Linked DNA regions of Neodiprion lecontei. The protein of the gene in region 1 interacts with the protein of each later gene in a pairwise test. Links are inferred from orthologs where the notes say so. Each region holds a gene or a part of one and is shown in the gene's direction. Other genes may lie near its edges.

Region 1 (3,929 bases):
ACTTGCCATAATATCCACTTGTAACAAATTACAGCCGCAGGATAATTCTTCCAAGTATCCTTGAAGAGCTTTGGCCTAAGAACGAGGAGCACTGCCTCAATTACGCCACTGCCATCCACACTAGATCCCTCGCCTCCCTTTCCGACTAATAGCTCGGACATGGATCGACACTTGCAGAGATCGCAGAGGTTAGATTGAATGGAGCTGACTATGGACACCGACTCTGCGGTGTTCCACACGTTCTTCTCGCTCTGTTCGCCGATGATGATAATCAAGTTTATCAGGTAAGTGCGAAGGGGGTGACTCCGCGATGCAGTTTCCCTGACGTTTTGCTCCCCAAAAGTCGTTGCTACGTGACGAAGCGTAGCCTCCACATTCCGCAAATTTCTGTTTACGATCTGCCTGTACTCACTGTAATCCTTTTCTTCGCAGGGTCGTTCATTTCCAATTTTTTTACACGGTACCAACGTGCCCTCGGTCAGCTGAACGCAACTTCTCCATAAATCGTCGTTTAATGTGTTGCCAGTTATCTTCATCGACTCCAATTCACGGAGCAGGTCGTTCATCATAGAGCGGATCGGTTTCCTAGAAATTACAAGATTGCGGCAGCGCCCTGGAGGACTATAAAAAAAGAGTTTGACCGCTCCTCTATCTGTTAACCTTAAAATTTGATTCAAGATTTTCTACCATCCCGCACAACGCATATCGCAGGGACAGAGTCGATCAGCGAGGCGCGATCGTCCGATTTTCGATTTTCGAGTTATGTTTCGAGGGCCGATCGGTCGAACATAGACCGTAGACCATGCTTAATACGGATGTTGGATCATTGAGCATAGACTATAAACGGGATTCACTAAATTCGGTTCCTACGCTACGGTAGTGCTGCATAGTGAGCATCGGTTGATTATTTGATTTTTGATAATACTCTCTGGTTAATATATTGATTGAGAATATCGGTAAATATGAATTAATGCAACCAGCAGTAGTAGCTGTTTGTTGATAATGGCTGAGTACCGTTAGTTTATTTTCTAAATATTTTTCTTAGCTACTTTTTCCTACGTCAGTTCCACAGTATCCGCGCTGTCGTTTGCTTTTGACGTGAGGCACACGCATTGTCACGCCCATCTTGATTGTAACCACACTGACACGTATCTTGTAATTGCTCACTTCACCCTGTTTGACCGCGACTCTATTCGTAAGCACCATTTTCGACACCATTCTCTTCCTAATTAATATTCATCACCTATCAATATTCGTTTTAGGCCGAGAGATTGTCTCTGTATTGTTGAATTCACTTGCTCCTAAAAAATTCTCGCATGTTCAAAACAGCAATAATAAACATTCTTTCCCATTTACCTATCACTTGTTATCAATAACTACAGTTTACTCGCATCCTCTCTTCACAGTAATTGCAATTATTCATTAAGAATTGAATCTTTTTGCAGACCTGAAATTGTCACACAGCTATGCTTTGCCTATCTTACAAATGTTTTGTAATTAATTAGAGAAACAGGCTTAACCTTCTCAATTAATAATTAACTAGCAACAAATCTAACTAAGGGTTAAGAATAGTATTGGTCTTATATAGTTTGTTGCGATGCGAAGTTATCAGAAATTCTGAGCCTATCAAAGAGTTACGGTTCCTTTTTTTTTTGGCAACCCTGTATGTGCATCCAAATATACTCATTATTTTTTAATAGAAAAATAGGCGATCAACACTGACTGATTTTTTAATTTATTGCAGGCAGTTCAGACTCGTATCGTGTGTCTTCAGGAGTGGGAAGCGATTCTGAAGTAATGGCAGAATTAGCGGCACTTTTGCGCCATGAAATCCCCGATGGGAGAAGCCACCTGGCCGATAGTCACACAAATTTGGAGCGAGTAGCAGAGTATTGCGAGGCAAATTATTTCCAAGCCGAGAACAAACGGCTAGCTCTTGAAGAAACTAAAAATTACACAACTCAGTCACTTGCCAGTGTTGCATATCAAATAAACACGCTGGCTTATAACTTTCTGCAGTTGTTGGATCTACAGACTTCGCAACTTGCGGAAATGGAAAGTCAGATGAACCACATTGCTCAGACAGTTATGATTCACAAGGAAAAGGTTGCCAGAAGGGAAATAGGTGTTCTTACTGCGAACAAAATGACCACGAGACAGTATAAGATTATTGCACCGGCAAATCCTGAAAAACCTATAAAATATGTAAGGAAAAGCATTGATTACACCATCTTGGATGAGATTGGTCATGGTGTACGAAGCGGAGGTACTCCTAGAAGCAAACAGCGTGGGGGGAGCCAGGGCAGTGTACAAAGTCTCGGTGCCGCTTCGACTGGTTCTGGTTTAGGTGCAGTCATTGTGGGTCCAGCACCTACTACGAAGCCACCAACTCCACCACAAACAGTCCGAACAGGTAATCAGTTCGTTTTAATAACAGAGATGTAGCCATTGAATAGCTAAACCAAATAGTTTTAGAATTCAAAATATTTTCTAAATATTTTTGATCAACTTTCTATTGGCACTTATTGTTTTCAGGAACACTGAGTAAGGGCTCCCGTGAGTACAGAACACCACCCGCAGTGGCTCCACCCCAAGTTCCCAGTCACTATGCACCCAATTACCCCTTAGGTCATCCTAGACGGGAACGAGGACCCGGTTATAGTACATTGCCACTCCACGCTCATACCACCCCGCATCCCTCTCATGGGCTTCAGCATACAGCTCATACTGCTACTCTTACTCAACACACTCTACCTCCCCAAGTTGGAACTGTTCATCCACTTCAAAGCCATCCGCAAACTCCACCTCCCGCTCCACCCAGTATCACTGGAGCTGCAGGCTATGTCCAAGAACATCTCAACAGCATGCCACGTAAGTAGGTTTATAATTCTCTTAATGACTTAAATAATTTAACTTCGAGCTCTAACGTCAGGTATTGATCCATATGTTGTATTGTCACTACTAAACTATGCTATATGTAATGCAAGTATGATTTACTCGCCTTTTTTTGACTGCGTTCCAAACTTAAAGTACAAGAACAAAGCAGTTTGATGTTCTAGTACTCAAAAGTGCATTTTGGTGTACTTTATGATAACAATCTATGCGCAAGCGATATACTTGGTATATAAAGTATCGTGTGCATCTTATATTGTAAACTTACACTCAGCGTAAATGGACCCACTTTACCTACTTGATGCACAATGTACTATTGTTTGTCAATGAATGATTAATACGATAAAAATTTTTGGCATGATTTCTCAGAAAATAGTAATTGTCAGTTGTGTATTGTCACAGCCTTCCCTGGCTTGTGTTTCGCGAGTTCTGTTGGCTTGTATGGCCAGAACAACAGAAACAGTGATAAAATAGTTTCCTGCACACATTCTCTGATTTTGCTTAATAATTAAATGCAGATTAACTTGCAGATGATCTGCATATCATGTTTTTTTTTATCTTACAGCACCTCCCTCGCCGCTAGTTGGCTCTGGGGGTGAAATGACTAATTACAGTGGTCACCATACTCTGCCGCATCGACTATCTCATCAAGTTAGCCGCAGCAGTGGAGCAAGCAGCCCTCCATTGCCTCCACCGCCACCCCCTGAACACGACGAACATTCTCAATTTGGAAGACCACAGCAACCATCTGGTGCTATTATGCCGATTGTGCCAGATGAGGAAGACTTACCTGGATGGGTACCAAAGAACTATATTGAGAAAGGTATAAATTATAAAACCGAATACTCAGTTACGTTAATCAGTTTTATCCCCGTTTTATGATTGGAATGTAGGAGGTTCGTTTTGTCTTGTTCCAGTGGTGGCCATTTATGATTATTATGCCGATAAAGAAGATGAATTGAGCTTCCAAGAGAGTTCGGTTATCTATGTTTTGAAGAAGAATGACGATGGATGGTGGGAAGGCGTAATGGATGGAA
Region 2 (3,929 bases), on another chromosome or scaffold:
TGTACGTTGCCAGAAGGGTTTTACTTCAACATCTTTTTCGTGTCTCTGAAATTCATTTAGGGAAATAGCAAAAATAATTTCACCTCAATGGAGTGCGTATATTTTTTTCTCAAGCTTTTCATTCTTCACATCTTTGTATAAAGATTCATTCATCTAATTTTTGTACATAACAATGCCAATAAGATTTTTCAACGGATGTTCTTGTGATTCCTAAAAACCCTTTCCTCGATTCGTTTCTATTTTATGTCCGAGTATTTCAATCACGTTTTGGTATGAACATTCTGGTGAATTTTTGATTTTTTTTTTTATTATTGTCATAAAATATTATTCACTTTTTTCACACCAGCTACTGAAATCTTAAAGCCAGCGTGCGGCGTGGCGGAACAACGGGATAGAAGATCCTCTTGTGTACAGACAACTGACCACATCGACCAAGCTTTAAAGACCAGTTAGAAACGAGTCAGTGAACAACAGTAGTGCTATGTGTACAATGGAAACTTAAACCCGCTCAATATTTGTGTGCGAAAGTAAACAATTAATAATTACAAGCTTTGTTGAGAACGCATGGACTCGAATCCAGTTACAAGACAAACTTCTGATTGCGAACTTATGGAAGTAATGTGAATTGCCTATGCTCAGGCGGATACTATTTCACTGCGAGTTCATAAGGCGGAAAAATACGTAAAGATGTAGCATATCCACAGTTACATAACAATACTCTGTGATACGCCGTAATATGGAATTGCACTGTGCACTTTTTGACGCGTGATGGATTTTGTCTTCAAAATACTCTCATTAACGTATTCGGTATGGTCATATGGTTTGCCCCTTCTCTCGGTTGGTAAAAGCGATTCATACCGACTGCCTGCGCGAGATTGAGGAACCTAGTGAGGAATATTTCCCCACACAGCAGTTGGATGCAGTGAACAAGAGAGCGCCGCAGCTGAGTTTAAGGACTGATAACTTAAAGTGGTGAGTAAGTTTACACATCGATGTGTAGTGGGTGTTAATAATTTTGTGACAATGTTGCAATGAAATGATAAATTTGGTAAGAAAACATTTCACTTCGTTGTACAACCGTCAAAAAAGCTCACTCGAGTTAGTATAATCGATCAGTTATATTTCAGAAATCGCTGTGCGCCGAAATTACGTTGGAAATCCTGTCAAGCCTACAAGCTACCCCTGGGTGGGGTCTCCTGTCATCCGGAAACACAGTTGACACTTGGTTCAATAAATTATGAGGCGATTCTACTGATTCACCGCCGTTCATTGACAAGCAGGCCACGAATATGGCGCGACCAATTATTCCTAGCCAGCAGAAGCTGGCTGAGAAACTGGCTATATTGAACGACAGAGGCACCGGTATGCTTACTCGTATTTACAACATAAAAAAAGCATGCGGCGATGCCAAATCCAAGCCTGCGTTTCTGTCCGACAAAACGTTGGAGTCTGCGATTAAATACATAATCCGAAGATTTCCCAATATCGACATCAAGGGACTGGCTGCGATAACGAACCTTCGCACCGAGATTATCAAGTCTCTGTCCCTCTACTACTACACCTTTGTTGACCTTCTTGACTTCAAGGACAACGTCTGTGAACTGCTGACTACGATGGACGCTTGCGGAGTTCACATGGACATAACGATAAATTTTGACGTGACAAAGGGCTACCTGGACCTGGTAATCACCTACGTAAGCCTGATGATACTTCTGTCCAGAGTTGAGGATCGAAAAGCTGTCTTAGGCCTGTTCAACGCGGCCCACGAAATGGTCCACAGCCAGTCAGATCCCAGCTTTCCGAGACTAGGCCAGATGATCATGGACTACGATGCGCCGCTCAAGAAATTGTCCGAAGAGTTTGTGCCGCATGGTAAATTACTGATAAATGCGCTGATGTCGCTGTGGCCAATTTACCCTGGAAGAAATTTATCGGCAGACACATGGAGAGCCGACAAGAAACTTAGCCTCGTCGGTAGTCCAGGGCAGCTGCTTAAAGCTGCCGTTACGGACACGATGTCCTGTGAAACGTTGAGCTTAGATAGATTAGAAAGATGGGTTGTCCTCGGTTTCACTCTTTGTCACACGGTCCTCAACCAGGAGCAACCCAGTAAACTATGGACCACCGCCCTCGAATCAGGATGGGTTTTAGCTCTGTTTAGAGACGAAGTCATATATATTCACCAATACATTCAGTCGTTTTTTGAAAGCATGAAAGGGTACAGCAAGAGAGTATCTGAAGTGAAGGACTGCTACAGTCAAGCCATTCAGAAAGCTGGACACAGGCATCGAGAAAGGCGAAAATTTTTGAGAACAGCCCTGAAGGAGTTGGGGCTGATATTATCCGATCATCCAGGGCTCTTGGGCCCAAAAGCTCTGCTAGTGTTCATGGGATTATCTCATGCCCGAGACGAGGTGCTGTGGCTCTTGAGACACGGTGACAATCCACCTATTCAGGGAAAAGGAAAGGGTCGTGGAGGCGATGACCTCGTCGACAGGCAGCTCCCTGAACTCTTGTTTCACTGCGAGGAATTGCGCGCTCTTGTTAGAAAGTATTCCCAAGTCCTGCAACGATATTACGTCCAATTTTTGGCTGGATTTGACGCACCAGCTCTGCATCAAATGATACAAAATTTGCCTGTGTGTCCTGAGGATGAAGGAGCCATTCTGAGCGACATGTGCTCTTCAATTGCGAGTTTAACAGTAAAACAGGTCGAGGATAACGAGTTGTTTGATTTTCGTGCATTCAGGCTTGACTGGTTTAGATTGCAGGCTTATATGTCGGTTGCAAAGTGCAATATGAATCTCGCGGATAACAGGGAATTGGCTTCGTTTATGGACGGTATTATTTTTCACACCAAAATGGTTGACAATTTAGACGAGATGTTGGTGGAAACTTCCGATCTCTCGATATTTTGCTTTTACAGCAAGATATTCGAAGATCAATTTCACATGTGTTTAGAATTTCCTGCCCAGAATCGATACATTGTTGCTTTTCCATTGATGTGTAGCCATTTTCAAAGCTGTACGCATGAACTTTGCCCCGAAGAACGTCATCATATCAGAGAAAGAAGTCTGTCTGTTGTTAACATGTTTTTGGACGAAATGGCCAAAGAGGCTAAAAATATAATAACCATAATTTGCGACGAGCAGTGTACAATGTCAGATAAGCTTCTGCCTAAGCACTGTGCAGCGCAAATATCTCAAGTAGTGAATCGCAAGAAAAAAGATAAGAACAAGAAAAATATGTACGAGATTCATAAACCCGGTATTGAAAGCTACAGAAAAACGCGAGAAGACCTTACGACAATGGACAAACTTCACATGGCTCTAACAGAATTGTGTTTCGCAATAAATTCTTGCCCCACCATCAATGTGTGGGAATATACATTTGCTCCTAGGGAGTACTTACATCAACACTTGGAAACACGATTCGCCAAAGCTTTAGTTGGTATGGTGATGTTCAATCCGGATACTAGCGTCATTGCTAAACCATCAGAGTTATTTGTCAGCGTTAGAGCTTACATGAATGTATTGCAAACTGTCGAAAACTACGTTCACATCGATATAACTAGAGTTTTTAATAATGCTTTGTTGCAACAAACTCAACAGCTCGATAGCCACGGGGACAAAACTATAGCTTCGTTGTACATGCAGTGGTACTCCGAAGTGTTGTTGAGACGAGTAAGCGCAGGAAACATTTGCTATTCAGGAAATCAAAGAGCATTCGTCAGCCTCACAGCCGAGAGTGCGATTCCCTTCAACGCTGAGGAATTTTCTGATATCAACGAACTCAGGGCTCTTGCCGAACTGATTGGACCTTACGGTATGAAAATGTTGAATGAAACACTGATGTGGCACATCGCGAGTCAGGTGCAAGAACTGAAAAAATTAGTAGCTGGTAATAAGGACGTCTTAGTTGCATTGAGA

What was found.
Region 2: the proteins of abl interactor 2 (region 1) and membrane-associated protein Hem interact in a two-hybrid assay, tested with the Drosophila melanogaster proteins (2 studies listed by BioGRID). The link is inferred for Neodiprion lecontei from reciprocal best matches to the Drosophila melanogaster genes Abi and Hem.

What each region holds. Positions count from the first base shown.
Region 1 is NC_060263.1:285,537-289,465, forward strand, and holds the start of abl interactor 2, read left to right. Parts: upstream 1-854; 5' UTR 855-1,002; coding exon 1,003-1,015; exon of another isoform or gene 1,016-1,032; intron 1,033-1,059; exon of another isoform or gene 1,060-1,195; intron 1,196-1,744; coding exon 1,745-2,413; intron 2,414-2,535; coding exon 2,536-2,871; intron 2,872-3,457; coding exon 3,458-3,715; intron 3,716-3,809; coding exon 3,810-3,929. Other genes in the region: TELO2-interacting protein 2, read right to left, coding at 1-569.
Region 2 is NC_060262.1:26,028,150-26,032,078, reverse strand, and holds the start of membrane-associated protein Hem, read left to right. Parts: upstream 1-874; 5' UTR 875-972; exon of another isoform or gene 973-1,048; intron 1,049-1,116; exon of another isoform or gene 1,117-1,127; 5' UTR 1,128-1,289; coding exon 1,290-3,929. UniProt on the Drosophila melanogaster protein: Plays a role during growth of the oocyte.